3 linked regions of the Mus musculus genome follow. The protein of the gene in region 3 binds, or shares a complex with, the protein of the main gene of each other region. Links are inferred from orthologs where the notes say so. Each region holds a gene or a part of one and is shown on either strand. Other genes may lie near its edges.

What was found.
Region 1: Snrpe (region 3) and Cwc15 share a complex: the UniProt entries of both Homo sapiens proteins name them as parts of the minor spliceosome. The link is inferred for Mus musculus from reciprocal best matches to the Homo sapiens genes SNRPE and CWC15.
Region 2: Snrpe (region 3) and Lsm6 share a complex: the UniProt entries of both Homo sapiens proteins name them as parts of the U4/U6-U5 tri-snRNP complex. The link is inferred for Mus musculus from reciprocal best matches to the Homo sapiens genes SNRPE and LSM6.

What each region holds. Positions count from the first base shown.
Region 1 is NC_000075.6:14,507,074-14,510,723, reverse strand, and holds the end of Cwc15 (spliceosome-associated protein CWC15 homolog), read right to left. Parts: intron 2,874-3,650; coding exon 2,755-2,873; intron 525-2,754; coding exon 395-524; 3' UTR 104-394; downstream 1-103. UniProt on the Homo sapiens protein: Involved in pre-mRNA splicing as component of the spliceosome. Component of the PRP19-CDC5L complex that forms an integral part of the spliceosome and is required for activating pre-mRNA splicing.
Region 2 is NC_000074.6:78,818,675-78,822,424, forward strand, and holds the start of Lsm6 (U6 snRNA-associated Sm-like protein LSm6), read right to left. Parts: upstream 2,479-3,750; 5' UTR 2,374-2,478; intron 1,412-2,373; 5' UTR 1,313-1,411; intron 1-1,312. UniProt on the Homo sapiens protein: Plays a role in pre-mRNA splicing as component of the U4/U6-U5 tri-snRNP complex that is involved in spliceosome assembly, and as component of the precatalytic spliceosome (spliceosome B complex).
Region 3 is NC_000067.6:133,607,520-133,611,269, forward strand, and holds the start of Snrpe (small nuclear ribonucleoprotein E), read right to left. Parts: upstream 2,762-3,750; 5' UTR 2,699-2,761; coding exon 2,645-2,698; intron 2,226-2,644; coding exon 2,199-2,225; intron 1,441-2,198; coding exon 1,378-1,440; intron 1-1,377. UniProt on the Homo sapiens protein: Plays a role in pre-mRNA splicing as a core component of the spliceosomal U1, U2, U4 and U5 small nuclear ribonucleoproteins (snRNPs), the building blocks of the spliceosome.

The sequences.
Region 1 (3,650 bases), on a different chromosome or scaffold from region 3:
ACATGAAGGCTCACAACCATTTGTATAGCTACAGTGTACCCATATACATAAAATAAATAAATAAAATCTTTAAAAAAAACCCACAGCACACAAAAGTAGTTTTCATTTTGAAAAGAAATTATGCAACTTTTTATAAGCTGTATAAATTGTAGCAAAAAGTTGGGGACAGTGGTTTATTTAGGTTAAAAATATTTATTACAAGCAGATTCCCCGTTTCCCATATTAAAAAGAAACTAAGGCCTGGTTAGATCCATTTCTAAACCCATTATCTAATAAAGTACTACACTAAGGGAAAGAGACTGAGAAAGTTAACACTGGGAAAGAACAGAAACCAAAAAAAAAAGTCAAATTGATCCTTAACAGTTTAGTTTTTAATTAAGCACATAAAACTATATTACTTAATATATTTCTCCATGAACTTCTTGTGAAATTCAGATCGCAGTGTATCATTTACAAATCGTTTGTCTTTCTTCTGGTCATCTATACCTTTTGCACAGTTCTTAAAAACGACATCATCATCCCATCTAAAGAGGAAAAACAAACAACAAATCTGTTATAGTTCATCAGGAGACAAGAACACAACAGACTATAAACCATCACAGATGCTCAACATGCTGTCACCAGACAGCAAAAGCAGCAGCATGCCTACTGTGTGGGGCTGTCACAGCAGGAGGGCATCCCCACTCAGAGCAGACACCACTTCTCCACTAGGAGCAAGTCAGTTACAAAGAAGACACACATAGATTGTGCTTAGGTAAAAGTGTGGTATTTTCAGATTTAAAACACAGAGGCAGGGCCACTTGTCCTGATCCAGACACCTTCAGACAGTAAGTGACCTGTTTACTGTGCTTTGTACAGTTTCATACATTCTCATCAGTTATATCTACCATGGCACACTTCATAATGCAAGGACGAACTACAGGAATGTAACAAGAAAGATTTATAGACCCATGGCTGCTGAAGTGTTCAGAGTAGAGCTCAGTTATATTTCAGAAAACATTAAACACACTCATCAGCAGGTGTTACGGGAAATACGTAGACCAGAGCTATGACCTTCTACATAAACATAAGCCCTTACATATAATAAAGACACTCAAAAACATGCATTAAACACAGCCCATGTAACATGCTTGCATGTGCTGGTGCATGACCACCAGGAGAAACTGCACAAGGGAAATGAGCAAAGCTATGCACACTTATGGAAACTATGTCAGTAAATTTGTCTTGATGCAGTACACACACTAAAAGCTGACCTGCTCAGTGTGACAGGGATACAAATGTTTTGTCTCATATGCAACATGTAATTGATAGCTTCTCTTCACTTCCTCGCTTGCTCCCAACACCCAAACTGCCCTGCCCCTCTGCAATGCTAAGATACAGTCCTCCCTTTCTGCACTTACATCACCATCCCTAGACCATCATCTCTCTCCTCTCCCAATACTCTGTGACTCTCTTGGCTGTCCTCTTCTCTGGCTGCTAAGTCTTAGCATAAGATTTTAAATTCAAATACTATGTATTATGCATTTACTATGCACTTATACTGGGCACTTCTCTAGTGCTGATACAATCTTTTGACTTCTCTCTGCCCACGCTGGCAACTCCCAGATGCATTATTTAATTTCTAGCTTAGACAAACTGCAGAGACACACAGGCTAGATTTACTTAAGAGATGTACAGAACACTCCAAACCTACAATGCCTCAAACCTGCTTCCTCTTTCACATTCAGCATAAGCCATACTCATCCTCATTCCTGCCTCGCAACTGCTCAGGTCAAATGAATAGAGACTGAGCTATGATAAATTGCTAGTTGTCAGCAACCATCTCCTTGACTGTACTATTGTCTTCAAGAATGTGGGTTAAAGTTTAGCTGCATAGGTCACTACAAGGGCTGTACTTTTCCTGTGATTGAGTAAAGAAGCCAATGGTTCTGGGATGAGAAAAGAGGCTGAAGACGGAGCTTTGTTCATGAAGGGTAGGTACTGAGTGAGTGAGCAGGAGAGTGGCAGGGCAGTGCTTCTTCATTGCCGTGTATGCAGAGATGAGGCAGTGGAGCTCCTCACACCCTCACACACACTACCCCTGCTCCTGTGAGGCATCCTCATCCGACATCGGTGTCCCTCTTCAGCTCTTTATTGTCCCCCTCTGCACACTGTACATGAGAGTTCCCTCTTGGGCCCCGACTCTAAGCGTAGCTTTGGTTAGTTAGCACTGGAAACCCGCACCTTCTCTCACCATCACTGTGCCTATAGTGCACAGGTTCCTACAGGACCACTCCCTTGAGACTCCTGAGTCTCAACTTTAGTTTCACTGTTTGGTGACCTCTTACAAGGAACAGGATTTTAAGGAAGCCTATATCTCTCCACCTTGTGACTTGGATGTATATCCATGAAGACTTACAACTGTATGATCTGTGTGTATCTTATAATATCAAACATGAATACCACCATACCAAGTCCCCTAAGTCCTTCTAGAATTGAATTGTGAGGGGTGGTCTTGGGGACCCCAACACTAACATCTCACGTAAAGCTTGGTAGCTACAGTCACTCTGGCTCTCTTATTTAGACAATCACTAAGCAGAGACTTGGCTATTATAAGTATGCATTAAAATGAAGTCTCCCACCTCTTTTCATCTTCCGTATTCTAAAATCTGATTGGGAAGGTTATCAACAGAAAGTGGGATCCTAGAAACTTTATAGAACACACGGAACACTAACCATGGTCACACACGTACACCAACCCATGACTTTTCGTACCTTCTTTTAACCTTGAAGTTGGCCTGAGGCTGGGACGGGCCAGTGAGGTTTAGGAGAGGGTTTCCACTCAGAATGTTTTCCATGCGAATTCTCTCTTCCTCTGCTTTTTGTTCTTGTTCCTGTCAATGACAGAGGAAGACACAAAGTTACTCTCTCCAGGTCAGCTGACCAATATTAGCCCACAATGAACTCATCTGGTACAGGGAGAAAAGATACTTTTCCTTTTTTTCTGTTTAATGACAGGGTCTCCAGCAACCCAAGCTGGCACGGGACTCGCTAGGTAGCAGAGGATGACCTTGACCTTCTGAGTGCATGGTAGGTGTGCAGGCCCCCATTTGCAGTGATAGGGATGGGGTGGTGCAAGGCCTGCTACAAAGCACTTTACCACTGACCCACTCCTCTTTTTGATTCTTAGTAAATGCCAGGAAAATCTTACTAATAAAACTTAAGCACGTTGCCATTTTTATCCCATCCTTGCCAATAGTCATTGGCCTCTCTAAACTGTGAGAAGCTGAGATGCTAGCAAGGTTGTTGTCTCACTTTTTAAGGGGCTACAGACAACATAATTCAATTTTGAGTTACAAACCATGTTAAGTTTCCATCTCTAGGATGAATTAGTTATTAACTAGGGAGTAATTCCTAAGACAAGACAAACTGTCATGTAAAAGATGGTCACATTCTAATAATATGTACTTCAATTAATTTATATAAAATATCGTTTGTTCTTATGCTTTATTGTTAGCGATCTATACCTTTCTTATATACTTTCTTCACTGTTACAATACTGTCTATATTTTTAAAAAGTATTTCTGTATATATTTAGCGTGTGTGCATGCATGCATATGGGTACCACAGTACAACGGAGGTCAGGGGACAACCTGCAGAAATCCATTCTC
Region 2 (3,750 bases), on a different chromosome or scaffold from region 3:
GTGGTCAGAGCCAAGCCTAGGAAGAAGCCTGGTCACATACAGATTTCTGACACTTACTCAGTGTTTGCTTCTTACTGCATGTTTTTCTCGTTTGTCTTATGTAGTGGGGCGGGGCAGAAGCAGCTGCTCCAGCGTGCATATGATGTCAGAGGTCACCCTTGCGAGGTGTCCAGGTTTGGCCATGAGTGCCCTGACAATTGGGTTACTTAGGCTAACTCCTAAAAGCAAGCTGCTCTCAACCAGAGGTGACTTTTGTGCCTCACCCTGGGGACATTTGAAAATGTCTACAGTCTGTACTGTCACTACAGGAGAGTGGTAACTAGGATCTAGTTTACAGAGGTCAGGGATGTCCCTCAAGACTCTACAGTGTACAGCAGTGGTTCTCAACCTCCCTAATGTGTGAGCCCTTAACACAGTTCCTCATGGTATAGTGAGCCCAACCATAAGGTTAATTTTATTGCTACTGTTATGATTTGTAATGTAAATCTCTGATATGCACATGCAATTCCCGAGGAAGGGTCGCCAGACACCCCCAAAGGGGCTGTGACCTTGGGGTGGGAACTGCTGGCTCAGAGGACAGCACTCTACAACGAAGGACTGAGTGGTGGGAGTGGTTCAACACGTCAGCTGACAGAAATGCTGCCAGGGAGCCCTAGCCACCACCTCGTTCCCTCTCTCTCGGTTTTCTGGCTTAAACACCACGGGATTTTAGGAAAGGCGAGCCTTGGCGTGAGAACCAGATGCTGAGTAGGCAAGCCCCTCTGTGTCTGTGGGTTTAAAGTGTTTACGGATCCAGCCAACCTTGCCTCACCTGGTAAAATGAAGCTGTAATTACTTGTCCAGCGGTCTCTCTGCTACCCAGACACAGACTTTCCCCTTGCTGTACTCCCTAAGCAATACTCTACTGCAACCAGTGACATTAAATGGCACGTTGTGAGTAATCTAGAGATGATGTGAAGGGCACAGGAAGACTGCACAGTTTATATGTAAACACAGAGGAAACCTGAACGTCCATGCACTTTTCGGTACTGGGAGGGATAACAGTAGCACTTATCAGAAGTATCTGATCCCAACACGGGGAAGCTGGAAGCAATCGTCAAAGTCTTGAAAGGGTTGACCTTCAAAAAAATAAATAAATTTCTAGTGCTGAACACAAAAATGTAACTTTTCTATTTTCCAGTCCCTCAATCCAAAAGTAGAAAATAAGCCAGGGAGTTAAAAACAAAACAAAACTTTCTTTAAAGAAGTTCTATTATCTAGTAGGCCACCCTTCAGTGAGAGAAGAGCTGCTGCAGTCGTTAGGGGTACTCACTTGGGAGGCAGGAAACCTGAGTTCTAATCTCTGCTACTTAATTATCTGTGCAGCTTGCGTAACTCATCACCATTTCACCTGTCACGGCCCCAGGCTCATCTGCAAAATAAGGAAGTTAGGCTAGATGGGTACTGGCTGTCTCTTCCTGTTCCAGCATCTGATTAACATGTGCAGTCAGTCAGTCAGTCTGTCTCTCTGTCTGTCTCTGTCTGTCTGTCTGTCTGTCTGTCTCTCTATCTCTCTCTCTCTCTCTCTCTCTCTCTCTCTCTCTCTCTCACACACACACACACAGTCACAGCCTGCAAGTTCAAACTCCCAATAGTAATTCCAAAGTGAGGCTGTGCTTTGCTACTTTAGAACCACAGTAGGCCCTTTCACGGTTTTGAAGAGCCAAATAAATTACTAACACTTTAAGAAAAACCAGTCTCGCAATGTGCAAGAACCATCTATGCTAGTAATTGAAAATTTGAGGAATAGAAGTTAAGGCATCACGATATCGTTCGGGATGCGAAAATGAAGCAAAAAACTCACACCCAAAGACGTCAGCCTGGGAAACAGCTGAATAATTTATGAGATCCACACAATAAAACAGGGGGCCCAAACGAGATCAATGAATTTTAAAATCACAACTTGTCTCATTTTAATGTAAGTATAAAACTAAATACTGGTGTGTGGTTAAAAAACTTGGTGGTCTTAGCTGAAACAGAAACAGGCCCACACAAGAGAAAGGGAGTTGGTGTGCCGAGGCCGTCAGCAAGGACCATTTCCTCCGCTCGTCTGTATTTACTTTCCGTCGCGCAGGGCTCGCGGGTGGAGGAGGGCGCCGAAGTCGCGCGCCACCGTAACCCTGGGCGCTCACCCCAATCGGCGCGAAGCGCGCGCGCCACGGGAGCGCGCCCGGCACCGCGAGCCCGCGTGGCCCAGACCAGCGAGCATCTCCTGGGACGCAGGCCCGGCTCGAGCCGCTCCCCGCCAGCCCGGACCATCCGCGGCCTACGCCAGCCGCTCCCACCCGGAGTGCCTGCCCGCACCCATTCATTCCTCCCAGGCCGCGGGCTCACCTTGCAGCCGGATCCAGAACGCTCACAGGCCGGGCTTCCGCGGACGCGCGCGCCGAAAACCGAAACCGCCCCCGGCAGCGGCTTTCCCATCTCACCCAATCAGCGTCCTCCTTGCCTATGGCGACCCGCGGGGATCAAAAACAGTCAGAACGCGTTAGTGAGCTGGCTTCCAAGACCGGGTTTGTTTAATGGTACCGTCGGCACCCAGCCAGGGCTTGAAGTAAAGGTCCGATATTCTGATATTCTCTCTTTTGCCAGAAAATAGAATACGAAAGCAAAACAACCAACCAAGAGCTAGAAGTGATCTTGTGTGTGTGTGTTTACAGTAAAGAACCTTAAAATATTAAGAAACGGAAACTTACAGTTAAAACGATGGCTGTTGAGCACCCCGAAATAGCCTTAAATAATTTAAAACAAATACAAGTTAAAAGCCTCAAACCCTCAAACTAACTTCTGCATATAAATTAAATGTATGAAGAGATTGTTTCCATGGGAATGCTGAAACAAAAAAATAATTCAAGCAACTCTGAATTATAACGGCATCAATTAGAAAACGTTACAAATTAGTTTAATTGGAAACTGCATGCAGATACTATTTAAGTAGTGTATGGGAACTTGGTTAGGGATACTTCATGAATTCTTAATGCATGCTTTTTATTTATGGAAGAAAAAAAGTCACAGGAAGACAATTTCTTCTACCCCCACGATCTCTTTATATTTTAACTTATATTTTATATTTATATTTTAAATTTTAATTCTGTTTCTGTTGTTTAACATTCAACAAAGTTATAATACCTTCAAACAACAGCTACATAACCCTGATAAGTGTTACAGGATCTAAGATGCAGAATTGTTTTCTGAAACACAAAGTGGATTCCTCCTTTTCTACGTGCCTTTGATTGATATCCTGGACAGTGATCTACCTGCCTTTGGTTGATACCCCAGACAGTGAACAACTGGGTGGAATTTGGAAAAGAACAGGAACATCCTTCTGTCTGTCTGTAAAATTCCAGTTGATGTCAAGACCAAATAATTACAGACATTGATCAAACAGCATTTTAGGCTCTTGAAATATAAAATTAGGAACACAGGTAAAGTCACATTTAAATCAAAGAAGGAGCACGCTATGCCTTGTCCCTAAAATAAAAACTGCTTTATAGGTCAAATTGGGGGCTGAGGATTTAGCACAGTGGTAGCATATCTAGTGTGCATGAACATCTCTGGCACCACAGCGGTAGTGGCATAGTGGCGCTCACACCTGTAATCCTAGCACCCAGGCATGCGTGCAGGAAAATCAGAAATTCAAGATCATCCTCAGCTACAGAATGAGTTTGAGACCAGCCTGGGCTATTTGAGACCTTGTCTAAAAAAAGAAAA
Region 3 (3,750 bases):
TTGGATCCCTACTCAAACAATGCAGTGCACAGTGGCCTGCAGCCGCACCTAGTGCTGGCCAACTAGTCTTGTTAAATCCATGAGTTCCAGGCTCAAAAAGCAGAGAGCAATAAAAGATACCTCTAGCACATACATCCACACATATGAGTATGTACAAAGCAACCCCACTCACTCCCTTGATGCAAAAAAGAAAAAAAAAAAGTGAGGCTGAGCACGTCTGTAAATCTCAGGAGGCTGAGGCAGGATGGGAAGTTCAAGGCCTTTACTGGGCTACATAGCAATTTCTTGCCTCAAAATAACAATGCCAGAGCTGGACAGTTCAGTAGTTAAGAAGACTGGCTTTTCTTCCAGAGGACCCAGATTCAATTCCCAGCACCCACATGGCATCTCACAACTGTTGATAACTCCAGTCCCAGGGGATCTGGTGCCCTCACACAAATAACAGTAGGCAGAACACCATTGCACATAAAAATAAATAAATCTTTAAAAAAATTTTTTTTCCATTTTCATGGCTATTAATCTAAACATTGAAGAGGCTCAGACAAGAGGATTTCCATGTGTAAGTCTCTCTTAAAAGACTCTGCCTCACACAAAGGAAAAACAGAGACGGGAGAGGTGGTGGAGTTACAAATCCTTCCTTGCTGCTCTTGCAAAGGACCCAGGTTTGGTTCCCAGCACCTACATGGAAGCTCACAATCACCCATCTTCAGGTGAGCCAACAACTTCTGGCCTGTTTGGGCATTAAACACACACAGGCAAAACACTCAGACAAATAAATCTAAAATAACAACAAAAACTTATTGCCATGGTAGCTGTGTGGTAGAGCAGGTACTTTGATCCCCAACACCATCACGATAGAAGCCTAACAAACCATAAGTCTCACCCCCACCAGCTCTATTCTGGCATGATCTAATCCAGAATGCAAGTCCTTTATCACTCCCCGCCCCCCTCTCATTTTGTTTTTGTTCCCTCTCCTCACAAACGAAGCTCTTCTTAAAAGTCTTAACTCTCCCTTCCTTTTTTTTTTTTTTTTTGGTTTTTCAAGACAGGGTTTCTCTGTGTAGCTCTGGCTGTCCTGGAACTCACTCTGTAGACCAGCCTGGCCTCAAACTCAGAAATCCGCCTGCCTCTGCCTCCCGAGTGCTGGGACTAAAGGCGTGCGCCACCACCGCCTAACCTCTCCCTTCCCTTCCTCTTAAGAGAAGTATTATCTAACCCTATTAACCAGAGCAAGGAGAAAAGGCTAAATAAATAACTCCAGCTCTGAAGAGCTTTCTTTGGGTTGGGTCCTTGACGCCTTGTATATTGTTCTTACTGGCCATCTTCTGAGATGTCTTTTTTAATAACAACTTGAGGAAAAATAGCCTGGGTACTCACAATAATACAACCTTCTATCCGCATATTCACTTGTTCATACAGCCACACCTGAATTCGAGATCTCTGAAATAAAAATAATGACTTTAGAAATGTAAACAAATCCCACTCCATTACTTTGTTTCCACAATAAACGACTTATCTTAAAAATTCCAATAAATATAAGCCAAAAACTAGAACTAGTTAGTCTTCATCTAAGAGCTAGCAACACTGGTTAACCTGCTGAGAAACATTTAATAAGTGCTCGGGCAGGCCTGTCCAAACTAATTTTCCTACTCTGAAAATTTATTTTTGCTTCTGGCATGAATACACTTACAGTTAGAACTGTTCACAGGATAGTACAAAGCGAATCTGGCGATTAAAAATTACAATGGCTTAAAACGATTTTTCATCTGTGTTGTAACACTCTAAAATAAACATCGCTAAAATCTCCTCAAAGAAGAGCATTTGCCACTCGCTTCTCTGTATATAACGCCCCCACTCCCCCAAACCCCGCTTTGGTGTCTTTTCTCCATTCTAAGTCCAACTATGGAAAAAGCACTATGCAACTGTCACTGCTAAATCCGATGACAAATCGTTCTTACAGAGTAATTTTAATAGTAAATATAATTACATTGTTCTTACAGAATAATGGTAACTGTGTGCATCCTTAAGTCAGCACGGACATATTAATAATTAGCGCTTTCCCTGTGACCTTATCCTCAACTCTGGTTCTCCCCCCCCCCCAATTTTTTAGTCTAAGCACTAGAAACAGAGAATTTGTTACAAAGAGTCAAACAGGCCCAACTTTCATTTCAGTAACAGTAAGGAAACAACTTACGTACATTTTGCAAGTATCTGAAGATAAGGTTCTGCAGCACGGCGATCAAGGAAAAGAACTACACAAACAGCGGAGCCTCCGCTCCCAACCGCGCCGGACTCTCCAGCGCCCCAAGGTCCGGCCGGGCTACATCCGCAAGCACAAACGACCGCCGGGAGCATGCGCTCCCTCCCCACCGCCCTCGTTTCTCCAACCTTCCCGATGGCCCACATCCTCCTCTCCTCCTCGGTATCCCCCGCTTTCATCGCGGATCGCCAGCCTGGCCGGGTCCACCCGGAGCCCGCCTTCCGCCTCCCGCCTCCCGCCGCCCTTCAACTCCGCGCGCTTTCCTGCCTCCCCGTTCGCCCCAGGGCCTCACGGGAAGCGGCCCGCAGCGGGCTGCCCGGCTCCCCGCCCACGCTCACGGCGCCTACGGCCCCCAAAGCCCCGAGTTCACGCAGCGTAGGATACGATGGGCTGCACCATCACCTTCTGCACCTTTTGGCCCTGGCCGCGGTACGCCATGGTGGAAGTCACAAAGACCACACGAGTAGGAAGGCCGCCTCGGAAAGCGACTTCCGGAAGCAAGACCCGGAAACGGAAGTGCAGTGGTCGTCGGCGACGCGGGCCGGTCCTGGGGAACGCCTCTCTAGGCCAGGAGCCGCTTTTTCTCTATGCTGATAGACTCCGCCGGCGGCCTTCCGACTCAACCGCTCTTTGAAGTCGAGGTCGGTCCTACAGCGCCACCTGGAGGTAGGCTGAGAGGCTTGCCTCTGCCTAGGTGCTCTTCTGAGAGCTGCTCTGGAATTTAGAGGCGGCATCTTGTCCAGAACCATCTGCAGACTCCCCTTATTTGTTTTGGGCCCCAGAGCTAGTCTAGATGGTCATGCCCGAAGCAGTGGTGGAGTTGTGGCTTGTTCAATAACAGATTCAACCCTCATCACCTTTATGCAGAGTTAACTGTTGCAGTGGCAACTGAAGATGGCAATCTAACTAGCTTGGAGGTATTGAAATCGGCTTGTTGGACTCAGATCTCTCTCAGTTGTGTGACCGGTGATAATTAAGTCATTAGGCCTCAGCATCTCCGTCCCGCAAGGGGACAGGAGGTGAAGATTCAGGGAGGTAGTAGTGCACAGGTGCTCCTAGAACACATCTGTAATCTCAGCTTGTGGAAGGCGCAAGGTGAGTATGACCTTAAGCTAAGTAGTACGTTCCAGATCTAAGCTACATGAGGCCTTGTTTCAAAACAAAACAACCTACATGGTATACAACCTGATAAACTTAAGGTAAGTTAGAAATGTAAGTTAAAAAAAAATGCATTTAATGCAGATACCTTGGGCCCAGGGGAGATGATTCGGTAGGTGGGACATGAGGTCTGTCAACCAGCACCTACACAAAATTACATGCCTGTAATTCCAGAGACAGGAAGGAGGGTGCCTGGGCTGGATGGCCAACTAGTCTAACTTAATCGCCAAGTCCTAGGTTCAATGAGAGACCCTGTCTCAGAAGGTAGGGTGAAGAGTGACTCAGAAGGACACTTGATGACATCCTTTGGCCTCCACATGCACACAGAAAAT